Linked DNA regions of Tribolium castaneum. The main gene of each other region encodes a partner of the protein of the gene in region 3 in a complex. Links are inferred from orthologs where the notes say so. Each region holds a gene or a part of one and is shown on either strand. Other genes may lie near its edges.

Region 1 (4,622 bases), on a different chromosome or scaffold from region 3:
CATAAGGTCAGTGCATTGATTTGTTTTACTTTATTTTTAATGCATTTTAATTTACATTATATAATTCTTTATAAGCTTTAGAAGGTCAAAAATACTTTACTTAATAAATAAGTACTGAATATCTTGCAAAATTATAATCCTAATAAAATTTTTATAAACGACGATATATAAATTTATAATTAAAGTAAAAATTATCGTGCACTATCGCACTTAAAAGCACAAAAATCGCGGAAATTTGAAGTAAAACCGCGCTTACCTGGGTGTTCGTTTGGCCGAAAACGCCGGCCCCGAAGGTGGCGGGCGCTTGCGTGGTTTGTGTCCCGAACAGGGGTTGGGAGAAGGGTTTGGCGCCTTGATTAGCGCTGAAAGGGTTGGTTGCCGGTGTGACATTAAACCCAAAACTTGGGGTGCTAGTGGTAGCGCCGAAAGTGTTCGGTTTTCCGAACAAAGTCGGAGTGCTTGTCGTGTTGGTCGATCCGAAAGCTGGTGTTGTTTGTCCGAAAGCCGGCGCCTGGCCGAATGCTTGCGGTTGTTGTCCGAAGGCGGGTTTGTTATCAGTTTGCCCGAAAAGCGAGGGCGTTGTAGTGGTCGAAGCCCCGAAAGGGGTGCTTCCGAAACCGGCCTGTTGTTGGGGTCCTTTCCGGTTAACCGAATAGTCCTCAAATCGCAACTCTTCCAGCGATTTATTCTCGTATTCTTTCATGCACGTGATGCAGTGGTGTTTGGTACTTATCGACTGGGTTACCCCGTTTTTTTGCATGGTGTCGGTCCCCGTAACCGGATTGAATTTAATAACAGTGCCGGTGGTCTGGTTTCCGAAAGCGTTACTTCCGAATAACATTGTATTAGTGTTTGATTGGAAAAGAGAGGTTCCGGGTTGTTGTTGCGGCTGTTGGCCGAATAATCCGGGCTGAGGAGGGGCCGAGCCGAATCCGAATGATTTATTTTGAGTGAATGCATTTGAGCCACCGAATAAACCGCTAGTTGATGGTTGTGGTTGCTGGCCAAAGGGATTTGTGCCTACAGACAGATTTATTAAGAAACTGAATGATGAAATATCGGACTATTGCCCATTCTGTGCTTGGGAAAAAAAAAGGATATGGATAGGGATCACACATCATTCCGTTAAAACCATCATTGAATATCTCACTTACCAGACGACGACTTACAAGACATCCTAGTTAAACTAGCTAAACAATAAAATAAAATAACCAAATAAATACAAATCATAGGAGTGTCTCCCGATATATGAGACAAGAAGTATACTTACAATGGGCGCTCATTGTCTCATCAGCTAAACCTATGAATCTTTTAAATTAATTGTTTCAATCGACTTAGCTTACCAAACTCTGGATCGGAAATATTGGCCATAGAATAAGTCATAGAACTGGTTGTTGTACCTATCAAATATTTAAAAAAATTTTGGCCGAAAATAACAAACCGTTACTTACAAACACATGAAGCAACTGAAATACCGCCACCACCAACTTAAAAGAAAATAAAATCGAAAAGCTCAACTGTCGCAATACTTACTACTTTGAAGATATTGGGTCAATTGTCGGTTAAGAGGTCTACCATCTTGGCCTATTGAAAATTACTTAATATATACGTAATACCTTAAATTAACTTACGTGTAATAGTAAACGGGCTTAATGGCTGTGGAACTCTCTGTTCTCCTAAATAAAAAAAAATATAGAAACAATTCCAACTTAACAATAATTTCGATTTACCAGAGGGTCCCGGCTCAGCAGCGCGAGGTGAATGAAATTCGGGATACGGTGGTCTGGGAGAAATCTCACCTAAAAATTCCAGAAAATAATAAAGATAAATTTATGACAAAAAAACTCACCAGCACCAGCGTATCTCAAAATGGCTGGATCAACCAAGCCCGGGCTATCTAAAATCAAGTAAAATGCCTTATAACTTTGTTTTTTATTTTATTAGTTGAACTCTTGAATTCTGTGAGAATAATAAACGTCTGCGAGTTCTAGTTCTAATGTGTACAATCTCCAGGAAAAAGATACTATTAATAGTATAAAAGTATAAAGGTTACATTATTTTTTACGTGGAATGTAACTATGTTATATATAAGGTGTTTAGTTTGTACTTGGAGTAGATCTATGAATTCATGAAAACGGCATAGAAATATTAGTCAGGTCACCCTGTATACAAAAAATAAAAGACCTAGAGAGTATCGTCTTTTTACAAGAGTTGTATGGGATATTCCGTCATAACTTCATAAGGAAACGTTATCTGTTTTATTTTTACATATTTATTTATTTTTTTAAAAAAAGAATGTACATTTTGAAAAGACAAGGAAACGTAAACGAGGCTGTAGTAGAACAATATTACTCACCACCACCCTGCACCTCAAATCTACGTATAGCTTCGCGATTATCTGTAAAAAATTCATGAAAAATATTGAAAGTAACAAAAAAATAGAAACTCACAGGCGGCCGTCAGGTAGTTCTCCTCATCTGGAGACAGCGGGAGAGGCGGCTCAACTGTCACAATCATAATAAAATTAATACAAATTCGAGACGCTTTATTATCGCAATGCTGATCTGTCAAAAATCACTCTCTCATTCGCGCAAACCAACTCAATTCTCATCATACGGGTTAGTAAAATACAAATTAGTGTATTTGGTGTTAGTAAACAAAAAGGGAACGTGTTGCACAATAATGGGCAATCATGGGGGCAAGTGTGAGGTTATACTACTTCTGTTTCCTACTAACTTTAACAACTGTTGGGTGTACGTACCGAAGCTGGTTTGGCTTGTGGGCGCCGATGCGAAGGACGAGGTGCTCGCAGACTGGAAGATGTTCGAGGGCTGCATTGATGAAAACATAGAGGTGTTGGGGGCAGGTTGTCCGAAAGTCGAAGTGGACGCTAGAAAACCAACCACGGTAACAACCACCGATTCAGTTCGGCAAACTTACCCCCAAAAGTTGAATTCGGTGGGTTATTCATGAATGCTGGCTTATTCATAAAGTTGGGATACATATTTACGACCACAATTGGTTAGGCATCCATAGAAATCACAGGAGATGCAGCGATTGATTTTCATTAACACCACATTAAAACACGACGGTTTTTACTAATATTTTGCCACAAAAACACAACAGACGGTTAAACTACCGCAAATTTTATTTACGACAACCATCTTGTTTTTATTGTAAAAAGCGGTGGCGCCACCTGCGAGTGGCGCGAAATTAAATTCAAACTGCGCAGCTATCATTTATTAAACCAAACCAATTAATACAATTTTTTATTTTACAACGTATATTGCTTAAAATCGTGTAAGCAGTTCGTGAAAACGTCTTCCACAGTTGAGGGTCCCGCTACAAAATTGTATTCATTATCCAATTATGTAACAAATTAACAAAAAACTCACAAAAAGGATACCATTCATCGCACGAATTTCTCGTTTCCTTTCTGGCACTCGCAACGGCGTTGCGTATCGCCAACGGGACTGAACACGCCAAACATAGCGGTGGTTCCCCGATAGCTACAATTTTCCACAGTTATGATTCCATATTCAAGCTATTTACCTTTGGAATTGAGAACTCCAACGCCATTGGGCGTATCGCCCGGAAATTTGATCCTAAAATCAACTGGAACGTCCCTCGCGCCTGGTGGTTTATAATTCCAAGTGCGATTGGTCAACAACTCGCCGCTTTCGCTAAAAATAATCTTCTCCGACGTGAAATAACCCATGCCCATGACAAACGCGCCCTCGACTTGCCCCATATCGATACCAGCGTTCATGCTAGTACCGGCATCTTCGAGTAAATCAACCCTTTGCACGATATATTGCCCGGTTAAAACGTCCAGCTCTATTTCGGAGGAGCAAACGCCGTAAATCGCGTAATTTTTCAGTTCGGAAGGGCTACCCCTAAAAACATTATTCGGAAATTAATTACTTAACGAATCACTTATACATTGAAGAGGCCGACAAGTTAACATATTGATTGTAACATTCTTGCACAATTTCCTCCCAACTGGCATTTTCGAGCTGTTTTTTGACCGGTTCCATGCGTTCTAACAGGATATCGCACGCTTTAATCACACCCTGTGATAGATATTTGAGAAAAACAAAAAAAACAAGAGTGAGGTAATACGTGACAAACTGTTTCCGATGTTAAGCTACCACCGACCATGTGGGCATTAGGCGCGATCAAATTATTGCTAGGCTTGACCGAAATTTTTTCGACTGGAATTTTCAACTTGTAGGCACACACTTGAATGACCTTCAATTACACGTGTACGATTAGTTCAAATTTAAACAAAGTCACTGGTCACCTTAGTGTTGATACCTTGCCCCATCTCGACTCCCCCGTGCGCGATTGCCACACTCCCGTCCGATTTATAGACGGAAACAACGACCTCATAGTTGCCAAAAAGATGGAAATGATAAACCATTGGCACAACCGCCAATCCCTTCTTCCTCCAGCGGTTCTCCTCATTGAATCTCTTGATTTGTTGCTTGCGCACGTCAATATCAGCCCACTTGTACAGTTCTTTGACGAACTGTGCAAGCAAATCGTGCTCCGCCTTCATGTTTTTAAGTCTGAAGTCGGTCGGGTCTATGCCGAGAGTCACGGCAGCGTGTTCCATGATC
Region 2 (4,402 bases), on a different chromosome or scaffold from region 3:
CCATTGATTAGAACTTGCTTTTGTGAACTAAGCTCGGCATATTTCCGGTTAAAAATCAACTTGACTATACCTTCCGTGTTATCATGTTCGGGAATTATGTTATAACCGACTGCTTTGAACCGATAAAACGGGTTATGAACTGTGTATTCAACCGGCGGTTGATTCGCACTGTAGTACCCTTTCCCCGTACCCCAACAAGCTTGCAACAAATTCCACTTTTTCAAAATATCATCCCTCTCATCATTATAAATATTAATAGCGTAAATCGATTGGATCACAAGTTGGTTTTGTTGTTGCTGTGTTGTGAGCGCATTTTGCGCAAACCCTACACAAAAATTACAGGTTCCTGTAATTGCTAGTCGGGTACTTACCTGGAGGTTGTGCCGGCTTGGCCCCAAACCCGCCCCCAAACAAACTCCCTTGTGTCTGTTGACCGAACCCTCCACTAGTCCCAAAACCCCCAAACCCCCCTGTTGTTTGCGTAGCCCCAAACCCCCCAAACAACGACGGCGCACTCGTCGTAGTAGTACCCCCGAATAAACCAAACCCTCCCCCTGTTGTACTCCCCCCAAACAGCCCCCCCGAAGTGGTGGCCGTGCCCCCGAACGAAGTCCCGAATAAACTCGGGGCCGAAGTTGTCGCAGTACCGAACAAACTCGGAGCTGGGGTACTGCCAGCTCCGAATAAACTAGGAGTCGAGGTGGTGACCCCCCCGAAAAGACTTGGGGCTTGTGTGGTGGTACCGCTCCCGAATAAACTGGGGGCCGAACTAGGGGTCGAAAATAACGAGGTTGAAGTGGTGGGAGTTCCGAAAAGGGTTGGTTTGGTTGTGGAAGTACCGAAAAGGCCGCCGCCGGTCGATTGACCGAAGCCGGTACCGAATGTCGGGGCTGAGGTTGATGCTGGGGCTCCGAAAGTCGAACCAAATGCTGGAGTGGAAGTTGCAGGAGTACCGAAAGTACTACCGAAACCTGAAGATTGAGCTGGGGCTCCGAAAGTTGAGCCGAAACCGGTCGACGGCTGCGAAGTGGCTCCGAAGGAAGAGCCGAAACTGCCGAAGCCGGTACTAGCCGTGGTGGTGGTTACCCCAAATGGGGTACCGAATGCGGTGGCTGTGGATAAACATTGGAAAAACATAAAACTATGACTAGGTGTTTACAAAAATTAATAAATAATCTAAGACGATAAGAAGTGTGCGTTTTAATTCAGGAAAAATCGAATAAATTGAATAAATTCAGCGAAATTTGTAGTTTTCCAAAGGAAATGGCTACGAAACCACAATCCTGAAATTATTTATTTTTCTATTTGGGTTGTTTCAACGAAAAGAAAAGAATTTCCATGAAAAAAGTATTTGTTACGGGGAAATGACCAAACGGAAACTACTCCTCGGTAAAAAATGCAAGTCAAACTTGAACTATGCGAATACTTATCGTGCAAAAAATACGCTGTTGTTAAGACTTAAATTTATGCAAAAACGAAATAAACACGAAATAAATGAAATTATTTCAATCCTTCAAGTGTCATTCCAGTCAAATTTTTTAAAAAGAATTTAAACACGTAGATAATTTCAAAACAAGTTTTTTTCGACTGCAGTGCCGCTTTCCCAATTTGTTATCACAAAATGACGGATTTTATTTATCCCAACCACAAGAAATTGCATTAAACAGCATTTTGTGACTCATCCCCGGGTTGTTATTTTACTGCGAATGGAAGGAAAGCAGGAAAACCGTGTTCGCACATATAAACACCAGCGATAAAAATTCAAAGCGTGGAAAGAAACTTTCAGTCGCCGATAAGTTCTTGCAGAGTTAAGTGTTTTTCCTTCGCTAATAAAAAGCACAATGTCGGGCCCTACGGTGAGTTTAATTTTTATTTTTCAAGTTGGATTTAAAAATTCCGATTCTAGCTATTCTCATTTCCTATCAAAGGGGCTACTAAAAGTTTTGGAACGACCCTTCAAGTCACAGACGATCAAAACGTACTCAAAATTGGGCAGAGTTTCACTCCCCCAGCTACTACCCTCATCAGCGAAATAACCAACAGTACGGTTACTGCAGAAACTGCTACCACTCCTGAGATTTCTCAAAATATTACAACAACGATTACCACCGTGATAACCGAAGTGACCGACAGTACGACCGAAACAATCGGTATTTTTGAAAACAACATCACTTCAGCAGTGGCCGAAATAAAAAACAGTACACAAAATACAACTTCAACCCCACTTGACGTATTTTCTTCAACTACGGATGTTTCGAACCAAATATATTACGAAGGATACGACGTTGAGGGAAAAACTTTGTACGTTGTTTTGGGAGTTATAATCGTCAGTCTGCTCTTAATTATCGTCATTCTTATCGTCGTTTATAAGCGATATAAAGCCAGCCGTTCAGGATCGCTTGATTGTGCAACCGATTTGAGCCAAGTTACCATCTCAAACGGAAGAATGAAATCGTATTAATTATATTTGTGATAATCTGTTATATTTTACTATCATTATATTTTTGTTACTCGCTTAGGTAGGTTTATTTATATCCTCAAAATGTTATTGCCGAAATAAATTCTTGGTTTATAAATTATAATCTAGGTTTTTTATTGAACACGTCCAGTTTTTCATGTTTTATCAGTTAAGTAATGAAATTACTTTTGTGTACTGTGCAGCACAGACGTGACAAAAAATTTAAGTTAAACACTAAACAAAACATTTTTTAGCGATTTGTTTCAAACAAAAATTGTTGAATTGTTACTCACACGTTAACAATCATCACAATTAAATTTTATAACCATTTAAAACACCAATTAACATTTTATCTGTAAAAAGTGTGGTGATTTGTATTGTTGAGTCTGAATGGTACAAAACGCTGCCACTTTTTCGATTTTTTCTGGTTAAAAATTAAGAACACAAACATTAGTCAGGCGTTTTGGGCAAAATTAAATCTCATTAATTACGGTTTAAAGGGAAAATAAATAAAACCGTGAATACCAAATAACAAAATAGAAAGAACTTAACCTAACTTTCTTACGGTTCTAAAACTTACGTTTATTTGCCGGGCTTCCAAAAGTCGACTGGTTTGCATTTCCGAACGAAAATGCCATAACTGCATTAAATTTAACGTTAGTATTTATATAAAAATAGTAATTACAATTTTTTATGTATTCACAAATTGAACTTAACGAATTGACAGAACTGTCAAACTTCAAACCTAGGTTATACACCGGCAATTTCACAAAATTTCAGCGTTTTCTGTACAAAAAAATACGAAATCAAAAAGTCGCTCATGTGTTTATGTTAATTATCTGGAAATCTATCCATTTCAGGGTTTTACGTTTTTTTAAGCTCATTCCTTTGTATTTCAATTCGGGCTGGCGAACTTTCGGCTTTCATCCCCTTGTCAAGTGTCATTCATTCCTGACATTTGGCATTTGCAATTGTTGGGTTGTGTTTTTTGCACTTTGATATTGCAATGTTTTTGTGTTAAAATTTAGTAGCGTAAGAGTTAGCCTTGATTAGTTTAGCCGAAAAAGTGCGCATTGTTTTATGGGGTTTAAACCGCGGTAGATCCTGTGTCGGTGAATTTAATCCAATTTTTCAATGGCTGAAAGCAACGGCGAAATGGACGACGATATCATCATTAACGACCAAGACGGCCTTCCCAACGTGCACCCCAACCTGCTGGCGGAGGCCGACATCGACAGCCCCGAGCATGTGACCGACGACGAGTTCGAGGACCTGCCGACGTCCCTCATCGTCACCAACATCCACGACAGTGTCTTCACCTCGCCCGGTAATCCGCCCCCAGCCCTCACCCGATCTGACCGTAAAATTGCAGAGAAAAAGCGCGAAATGGAGAACCTGTTCCGGAACTTCGACCCGGACGTGACATTCCAGTGGCTGCGCAGTTTCCGAAGACTGAGAGTGAACTTCCAGACGCCCGTGGCAGCCGCCAGCGCCCGCATTCAGCTCCACCAATACAAAATCAACGACTCAGTGATTACGTGTTACTTTGCTCAACCCGTCACCCCCGTCAAAAACCCCAGCCTGCAGCCGCCAGCCCCCTTCAAGCAGTTCCTAATCTCGCCGCCGGCGTCGCCCCCCCTCGACTGGGAGCCCCGGCCGGAAGGTGAGCCCATTATCAATCATGACCTTCTTGCAGCTTTGGCCACCCTCACGCCGGGGGCGTCGCACGAGGTGCACCCCCCCTCCCCCGGCCAGCCCAGCATCGTGGTGCACACGGCCCTGGGGGCGGACGGCGTGGGGGCCAAAGGCAGGATGCCACAGACGTCGTGTCCGGAACGGAGTTAATGATTTGTACAGGTCTTCAAGGTTATTTTAAGTGTGAGCTTCAGAGCCTCTCAATATGTCAATTTCTCTCTATGTAGAATCTGTCACTCATTTATTATG
Region 3 (4,294 bases):
TTCTGTCGCTCGGTTTCGACCGCAGCTTTGGCTTCCTCCAACTGTTTGGTTAGCATCTCATGTTGTGACTTCAACCGCTCGTATTCGGCTTCCATGATTTCGGATTTACTTACAGCAATGTCTTTCTCTTGTCGCAAATATTTAATTATAGTGAGCAACTGTTCGGAAGACTTGACTTCGTCCTCAGTGAACGATTTACTCATCGATAAGTCGGCCGATTGGTTTGGTTCTGCGGTAGCTTGTGCCTGAAGGACAGATAGTTGCGTATTGAGAGCTTGAATCTGGTCCAACAATAGACTGTTTTGCGCATCCATGTCTTTGAAACGTTGCTCCAACTCTTCCCGTTCTTTCTGGATCATTTTTTCCCGCGTCTCCCAGCTAGCTTTATTATTGTCGAGTTCTTCCAAAGCACAGTCACGACTTCGTCTCATTTCGATTAATTCATTTGTGGCTTTCTCATAGTCGGCTTTAATATCAGTAAGCATTTGTAGATCGGCCGAATGCAACATCACTTGTCTCGCAAACTTATTTTCAACGGCTTTCAGACTTTCGATGAGTGATTTGTTCTCATTTCGGATATTTTCCAACTGTTCGCGGGCCGTTTGCAAGTCCATATTTTTCACATTTAGCTCCTCTTCCAACTGTGTTGATTTGCTACGAGTGCTTGCATTTGCCATGTCTTGATCATCCATTTGCAACGATAATTCTCCCTCCAGCTCGGCGCATTTTTCCTGCAACTGCTTGATCGTGTTCTTCTGACTTTCGATCTTCTCCTCCAATTCTTTCTGTTTTTCCATTAAAATCGTCATTTGATTCTCAGCATTGCTTGCAACGTTGGAATATTGCTCAGCCGCTTCACGCGATGTTTTCAATTTCGAACTCAAAGCTTCAATTTCGGCCTTAGCATCGCTTAGTTGTTGCTCCAATTCGCGGATTCGTTTTCCATCGATGTTACTTTCCGGTATTGCGTACGCAGAAGTTTTGAGTTTCTTGGTCAAATCTTCGATTTGATTGGCTTTCTGGATCAATTCCTCCCTGTTATTGGCTAATTCCTTTCGTAGTTTTTCCGCTTCGGCTTGTTCCTCACCCATACGTTGTTTGGCAAGTTGTGTTTGGCTTTCCAAATGTTCGGACAGTTGTCTAAACCTGTCTTGTTCCTCCTGTAATCGGCGTCTTAACGCGGCACATTCACGGTGTGCTTCATCCAACCTCGCTTCCAGCCTCAATTTTCCTTCGGCGTCTGTGCGTTCTAACGTTGCTTTAATCAATTCAATGTTGCTTTGGATCATATTTTGCGTGTGTGACTCTCGTTTTATGCTTTCGCGTTCTTTAAGCAAACGCATCTCTGCGTCCTTAAGTAACGCATTCTCCTTCTGAAGATTTGCCAACATTACTTCAGCTCTTGCAAGTTTCGTTTGCGATTGCATTGTTTCGTCCTTAAGATACGTTATCGCTTGCTCATGCTTGATGATCGTTTCGCTGTAAATTTTATTCTGTTTCTCCAACGCCGTGATCTGTTTCTTGTAAATTTCAATATTGTTTTGTGCAATTTTAAACTTCTCGTCACTATTCTCCTGTTGCGAAAGCAACTTACAGTTGGCTTTAACCAATTCTTTCACTTCTGCCCTCATGTTTTCTAACTGTTCTAGCAGAATTTTTTCATTCTCTGATTTTTCTTTACGGTATAGTTCGTTCTCATTCTTCAAGTGTTCGATTTTTTTCCGGAAACTTTCAATCTGTGTGAGCAATTCTTGTGTTTTGTCGTCACTTTGAGATTCATTATCGTGGCTTTTGTCGTGTTCCCCGTTGGTTTCTTTCAAACTGAATGAAGAGTCGAGTTGAGAAGGAACCTCTTCCCCTGCAGCTTTAACAGCTTGTGTATACAAGTTCTTGTACATATCTCTCTGATTGCCTAAAGTAATCATCATTTTATTGTGACGTTCACGTTCTTCAAGCAGTTCATTCTGAGATTCCCTCAAATGATCAAGTTTCATTTTTAAATCGGAAATTGCCGCTGGATCAAAAGCTTCCGCTTCTTCCTGGCGTTCTGTCAATTCGCGAACAATGGCAAGTAACTTTTGGTTGTTCTTTTGCAACTCGGAAATATCGTTAAAAGTGACCAACTTTTTCGTAATAATATCGGCAGAGCTGACGCTATCGCTCAAGTCCATGTCAGTCGAAGTTGAAGACGAACCAACTCTCGAATTTTCAATTTCCTGCAATAAATGGCACACTTGACGGCTTAAATCAGCTACTTCCTTCTTATATCTTGCATTCTCTCTTGAAACGGCTTCCTCAACTCTAGTGCACTGAACGTTGGCTTCGCGCAATTGTTGGATTTCGTTCAACAACTGATCGTTTGAATTTTTTAATATTTCGTTTGCGTCCAAAGCGTTGCTATAATCCTCGCGTAGTTTTTTAATTAGTGGTCCTTTTTCTTCAACTTCGTGAACAATGCTGCTAATGTAGTTTTTCAATTGGGCATTTTCTTTCTCCACGTCGATCAGTCGTTCCGAAATTGTTACGTATTGTGTGTAAATTTCTGTTACTGTCATTCCTGATTTTAAGAGACGTGATGCTGATGCTGCAGATGGTGATAAACCTTCGATTTCTTTTTGTATTTGGTCTTGTTTGCAGTTTTCTAAAAGTTCTTTTGATGTTTCTAATTCTTTCTTTAATAATGTGATACATTCATTCTTCTTAGCCAAAATTTCTTCGTGAGTTAATTCCATTTCTTTGTGTTTCGTTTCCAGTTCTCCGTATTCATCAGTCGCGTGCTTCAGCATTTGTTGAACCTGTGCCAAAAATGTTTTATTATTATTATAGTAAAAATAATTTACAAATATTAATTAGCGCCCGGTAAAAAAAACTGCAATTTCAACGAAGAAGCGAAGTAATTCTTCAGGATTCCTTTCTCTATTTTTTGAGTTTCTCCCAATACTAGTACCTCATAGATAACCATTCGGTAATTTTTTATATACCTATTTTTTTAATTTCAGTGAGTAACTACTATTTTAGTAGTACTTTCTAGATGATCAGTTTCCAATATGATTATTAAAATATTAAAGCTTTAATGTTTACACAAAAAATAACTACAATTTTGTGTTATTCCACTTACACAAATAATTGAAAAAAATTGGTGCATTTATTATTCATAGTTTTGTTGTGTATCTTTTAAAATAACGAAATTACAAAAAAGATTTTGCTAAAGTGTAACTGTGTTGTCAATTTTGCTCAAGTAATAAGTTTCAAGGATTAGATCTTAAAAAATGCACATCCCTGTAATTGTCAGGTAGGTACCTCAAAAAAACCTTAAGTAACGAAGTCGTAACAAAAATCAATGAAACAGACGAACCTCTTTGTTTTCCACCTTAGAACCATTACTTATCTCACAAAAATTTTTTTGGTGAGATTTTATCCGATATTTTTACACAATTATTGTTGCGCCGTTTAATTTTATTCAGTTTATTTGATACTTTTGGTCGTGAAGAGACGCCTCATAAATAAAATAAAAATTTTACAGTTTAAAAGTTCTTTTAGAAAATTATATTAAGTTTGTAATATTTTCAAGTAATTAAGAAGATAATCTGATGGGACTTGCTAAAAACTGTGCCAGAAAAAGATACCATAAAGTTACATAAGTACATTTTATTCTTAATGTCCCCCTCCCAAGTGAAACGAATATGTAATAATATGAATAAAGTGTATTGATTTTGTTTTTAATTTTTTTAGTATGTTGCTATAAACTGTAGCGGAAGTAGGTATAAATAAAATAAGTCCGTTATATTTATTTTTCTATTTATTGCCAACAAGTGAGGTGTTAAAAAGTGATAGTTAAAGTGCCATATTTTAGAAAATGGTAAGTACTTCATAAAATTTACAAACTATATTAATTGTAATAATTTTTCTTCTATGAGAAATGAGACGCCTAGCCACAAATTGGCAGAAGTAGATGCACATTAAGTGCATTCTATTTATTTATTTATTTTTGTGAGAAGTGACAGAAGTGCGATAAAAATGTCACAAGATAGTCACAAGACATAAAACACTCGCTTATTCATTTTTTGAGATGAATTCAAATATGTTAACCACTCATAATTCAGAATTGCCATTAAATAACAATATTTTTCAGAAGATACAATGGTTAATATTTTAGGAAATAGAATACATTTATTTAAATTACTATTTTGAATTCCAATAATTTTTGCATGTAATATTTTGAGATCACATTACTCAGTAAGCAATGTCCGAGCTTAATCAGTCATATCAATTACAATAAATTCAAGCGATTGTT
Region 4 (4,356 bases), about 21 Mb from region 3:
TTCTCTGAAGAAATTACCAGCTCTTTGAAAATAGAAGATCACGCGTTAGTAACTGTTATTTTAAATTAAAACCGAAACAAAACGAAATCTAAAATAACAATTAAAACATGCGACTAATTACGATAAACATTCAGATACAGTTTGAGGAAACAATGAACGGTATTTTCTATAAAAATGCAAACCATGCAAGGCGATAAAATAAAACACACAATGGGGCAAAAGTCATTAGCAATTCCCTATTCTAGATTTCTTAACTGATATTATGTAAACAGCTAAAGCAGTTTTTAATTACGAGCATCATAATTTTTTTAATAAACCTTGAACGCTGGTGCACCATTTTTTCCATGCATTTTAGCAAAAACCAGCAACTACCTGTGCGAGCTTTGGTGATAGGGCGAGTAATGGTTGTAGTAGCTATCAGCATAGTAATCGTGGCGCAGCCTCTTGGGGGCTGGGTCCAGACTCGGCGAGTATCCCCTGTCTCTCACCCCCGGGCGGTACTCCCGAGGCCTAGGTCGTGACCAAGAGTCACTATAATTTCAACACTAGGACCGAATAAGCCTCGTATTGACTCTTACCGTTCGGCCCAGTCGTCCCTAGGTCTGGCAACCCGTTCGGCCCCCCTGTAAGTGGCTTCGGCGCGTTCACCTCTGAACTTATCGCGGCGTTTGCGGTCGTATTCATCGTCACTATCAGCCATTTCCTGCAATTAAGTCGGGAAAAGTGAGCACTAGCACTGAGCACCATGAGGGTGTAAGTAGTCAAAATGAGGGGGTGCTAACTGCGGGTGGTGGGTTACTGGTCTAGGTGGGTTCGATAGAAGACTCACTTTCTGTTCTAAAAATAATACTTTTGGCGATTTTCCGGCGAAAATTCGGATTTCTCTTGAGGAAGTTGATACAAAATTATGGCCGACACGTCAAAGACGCCGTGGGGGTTTTGCAGCCACCAACCTATGGTGGTATGACTGGTGACGCCGCATTATCGCAACATTTAAACGCAAAAAACTGCTCATTGTGGGATTATTTATTTTTGTTTCAATTACTACAGTCATGTAACTGAGTTGATAAGCTGTAAGAACAGCTACAACAGCCCGTAATTTGCATTTTTAATTTTTTTATTTGGATACCGGTCCCTCCAAAAAAGCAAAATCCCTAGCTTTGATTACTGACGTCAGTTGTAAGATGGTGGACGTCCGTTCGTGCGTTGTGAAATCTCATGTTGTAACGGTTTTATAAACGTTTTCTAAAATTTGTGAAATTGCTCGTTTAAATGTACGTTTGAGTGGACGCTTTTCAAAATGTTTCCCACAAGGAAAGCCGATGTCGATAAACACGTTGAAGAATGCTTGAAGAAGATAAATAACGAGACAGAGGTAAGGTTTTGAAATCGCTGTCATTCCGTTACGCCGGTCGAGAATTTCTCATTTTTTCGCGTTTTGAAAACGCGTTTGCTTATCAGAAAGGGCCCAAAAAACCATCACCCTTATCGATTCCACCTGTCCTAATTTTAAAAATTGCGTATCATTTATTATTGGAAGAATGTCTCACGCATCAATGTCACATGCAGGGAACCTTTGGCGGGAAATTATTTTTAGATTATAAAAATTCTTAAATTACGCTTCGTGTTAGGTCCAATTTGCCAAGATTTTTGGCAGTGTTGGCGAATCGTTGGCCTTTTTTGTTATCCAGCTGAGCCGGCAAGGTCATGCCTAATCAATAAATTGGCTAAACCCTTCTATCATTTGAAATACTCATTAACACAGTTATTAATTATTATATTTTGTAATTATTATTAATTTTGTTACACCTCTTACACCGTGGCGGCTTGAGGGTTCAAGAGTCAGTGAACAGCTAACAGCTAGTACACAATTTTTTTTTGTAGTTAATGATAGCTCCAAGTGCTCCAACATTTCATTTTTAACTTTAAATTTGTATGTGTAATTGTGTATGTATGTAAAAACTCGCCGTTACTTATTACAGAATTTGTCTCTGTATTCTTTAACTAAGTGTAATGTCTGGATTTTTTTTAAACAGCTTTGAGCTACAATCCATAATTTTTGCATTTGGACATGTTATTTCACAAGCTTTATGAATACCTAACTCAAAATCAATAACAATTTTTCTAGAATTAAGAGATAAATTATATATGAACATCTTTTAACAAAGTTGCATATTATTTTTTAGTTTTATTTAGTAACAAATCAAATACTAATGGTACGTAGTGCCCATTCCTAAAGCTATGAACGGTGAACATTTGACAAAAAAATCAGTACAAAATTCGAAGGTAACACCATGAAAAGTGTTTATACTGAACAAATAAATTTCTAAAACAACTAAAGACAATTGTTTTGTTTGTTCATCGACTCAAGATTCAAAATCTTCGTGCTTTTTGGTTTTTAGTTGTAATGTTGCTGCCAAATATTTCTTCTGATTTTCTGGAATCATTTTCTCTTAAGTCATCATCCTAATGTATTATTTTAGAATGTTTTTTACACAAATCTTTAACAGCTTTTTTTTTTACTGAGTTACTGATTATTTGCCGCGATATGGTTGAGTCTATGTTTGTGGAAACCAGAAAACTGTACTATTTTGTCTTCTTGAGGAAACTTCGGATATAATTTGCCACTAGCGTTTTTTACAATTTCTTCAAAAACTTTTCGGAAAAATATAATATTATAATCGTACTCGCACACTCGTAACTTTATTGAGTTATACCGACACTACGATTTTAAAATTCTAATAACTTTTGCTTTATATTGATTCTTCTTTCAATTCCTTTTAATTTTCAAACTGACTCTGGTGGGTATATTTCTAAGAAATTACTGTCTCATTGCATTGTCTCCTTAATGAGTCCCTATTACCTGGCCTACCAAGGGCATAATTGCACCCACTCTGTGGGGTATTGTGGTCGAACTCAGCTATCGGTTTAATCCCTAATTTTAGTATCAAAGGATTATTTTTGCAGCGGTGGACAAAAAAAATCAATGTTGGAGTTACAGTTAGGGTTGAATTGGCCTTCTTATATTATCCTCATATTTTGTCTGCAGTGCGATAAGCTGATAAAACACTAGACTTGATTTGTGATAGCTGATTAACTGTAATATTTCACTAATAAAGATACGTAAAATAGTAAATTTCGTTTTATTACAGCGCAATCTTCGTTGCCTGTCTTTCGCTAAGCAGTATTTCAAAATCGAGCGTTTCGAGGACGCTCGTCGTTACGTCTCGACGTATCTCAGTGCAAGACCAAATTCTGCAGAAGCTCATTGCTTGCTGGGCAAATGCCTGGAAGCACTGGGCCGTAAAGAAGCCGCTCTTCAAGCCTACACGACCAGCCTTCGGCTTGACTCCAAACAAAATAATCTCGTCCTGAAAGGTACGTGAAGGCTTTTTATTTTCTAATTTTTCGGCAACGTTTGCGTTCCAGTTTGCGAACTCTTAGCCTCCGACGACGTGGAAATGGACCATTCCGGTGCTCGGTACTTTTGCGAAATGGCCCAGTCTTTCGACCCTCACAATCCTGCCATCTTCAACCTGAAACAGCGCATCCTCACGTCGGAAAATGACGATCCTCGTGATGTCTCCAATCTGATTTTGAAGGAGTTAGAAACGCGGCCGACTGACGTCAAGTTGCGGGTGCGTCTGTTAAAACATCTCCTGCAACATCATTTGGTGAAAGAGGCGTACAAGCATGCTGCGGATATTGAAGCCAAAGACTTGGCGATTTTTTGCAATGTCACTTGGTACGAAGCCGTAGCCGAGGTCTTGGTCAAGTACCAAAGAACGGTTTCGTTGCCTAACTCGCTCGGTTGGGAGTTTTGGTTTTTGTCGGTCTCCGTTCTGGACAAATTGGCCGCATTGACTTTGTCCGAAACCAGCGAAAATATCAAAACTACAACCGAATACATCAATGCAATATTTAACTTTGACCAAACTTTGACAAAAGCTGCTCTCAACATCGGCGATTGTCCCGACAAACACCTCATTCAAGAATTTCTGAATCACCACAGCGCGCAGTTGTGCTTCCATTTCGTCACTTTGGTGTTTAAACAAGCACAAAAAGATCTTATTAAGTACAAGGAAGCCGCAAATATCACTCTACCGCTACTTTTCGCGGCTTATCACTCACAGCCACCCGATCTACAAAGCATGTGGTTCAACCACGCGCCTGAAAATCGCAGAAATTTGGTACGGAGGTGGCGAAAGGAAGCCGCGTTCAGGTGTTCACAAGCCGGGCATGTTTTACAAGCGGCTGCCAAAGACCGGAAGTCGATACTCATCGAGAAAGCCAACCAGTATTCAGTGGGCATGTGGCGAGAGCAATTGTTTAAAAAATTGTTCGTCACACGTGACC

The links. The genes of interacting proteins can lie anywhere in the genome.
Region 1: Mgtor (region 3) and Nup98-96 share a complex: the UniProt entries of both Drosophila melanogaster proteins name them as parts of the nuclear pore complex. The link is inferred for Tribolium castaneum from reciprocal best matches to the Drosophila melanogaster genes Mgtor and Nup98-96.
Region 2: Mgtor (region 3) and Nup54 share a complex: the UniProt entries of both Drosophila melanogaster proteins name them as parts of the nuclear pore complex. The link is inferred for Tribolium castaneum from reciprocal best matches to the Drosophila melanogaster genes Mgtor and Nup54.
Region 4: Mgtor (region 3) and E3 SUMO-protein ligase RanBP2 share a complex: the UniProt entries of both Drosophila melanogaster proteins name them as parts of the nuclear pore complex. The link is inferred for Tribolium castaneum from reciprocal best matches to the Drosophila melanogaster genes Mgtor and Nup358.

What each region holds. Positions count from the first base shown.
Region 1 is NC_087403.1:3,513,946-3,518,567, forward strand, and holds the start of Nup98-96 (nuclear pore complex protein Nup98-Nup96), read right to left. Parts: upstream 3,197-4,622; 5' UTR 3,005-3,196; coding exon 2,941-3,004; intron 2,891-2,940; coding exon 2,762-2,890; intron 1,021-2,761; coding exon 257-1,020; intron 1-256. Other genes in the region: uncharacterized protein LOC656938, read right to left, coding at 3,275-3,342, 3,396-3,509, 3,553-3,896, 3,943-4,073, 4,123-4,251, 4,304-4,622. UniProt on the Drosophila melanogaster protein: Part of the nuclear pore complex (NPC). Required for MAD import as part of the Nup107-160 complex and required for nuclear export of Moe probably via its association with Rae1. Plays a role in nuclear mRNA export.
Region 2 is NC_087397.1:2,066,529-2,070,930, forward strand, and holds the start of Nup54 (probable nucleoporin Nup54), read right to left. Parts: upstream 3,197-4,402; 5' UTR 3,097-3,196; coding exon 3,039-3,096; intron 2,583-3,038; exon of another isoform or gene 1,907-2,582; intron 1,857-1,906; exon of another isoform or gene 1,113-1,856; coding exon 372-1,112; intron 326-371; coding exon 1-325. Other genes in the region: sra (protein sarah), read left to right, coding at 3,593-3,785, 3,831-4,303. UniProt on the Drosophila melanogaster protein: Component of the nuclear pore complex (NPC), a complex required for the trafficking across the nuclear envelope. Essential for the nuclear import of nuclear localization signal (NLS)-containing proteins in an importin alpha/importin beta-dependent manner.
Region 3 is NC_087394.1:8,225,056-8,229,349, reverse strand, and holds part of Mgtor (nucleoprotein TPR), read right to left. Parts: intron 2,796-4,294; coding exon 1-2,795. UniProt on the Drosophila melanogaster protein: Component of the nuclear pore complex (NPC), a complex required for the trafficking across the nuclear envelope. Functions as a scaffolding element in the nuclear phase of the NPC.
Region 4 is NC_087394.1:28,910,837-28,915,192, forward strand, and holds the start of E3 SUMO-protein ligase RanBP2, read left to right. Parts: upstream 1-1,160; 5' UTR 1,161-1,300; coding exon 1,301-1,375; intron 1,376-3,152; coding exon 3,153-3,378; intron 3,379-3,429; coding exon 3,430-4,356. Other genes in the region: Ars2 (serrate RNA effector molecule homolog), read right to left, coding at 1-22, 373-531, 579-700. UniProt on the Drosophila melanogaster protein: E3 SUMO-protein ligase. Component of the nuclear pore complex (NPC), a complex required for trafficking across the nuclear envelope.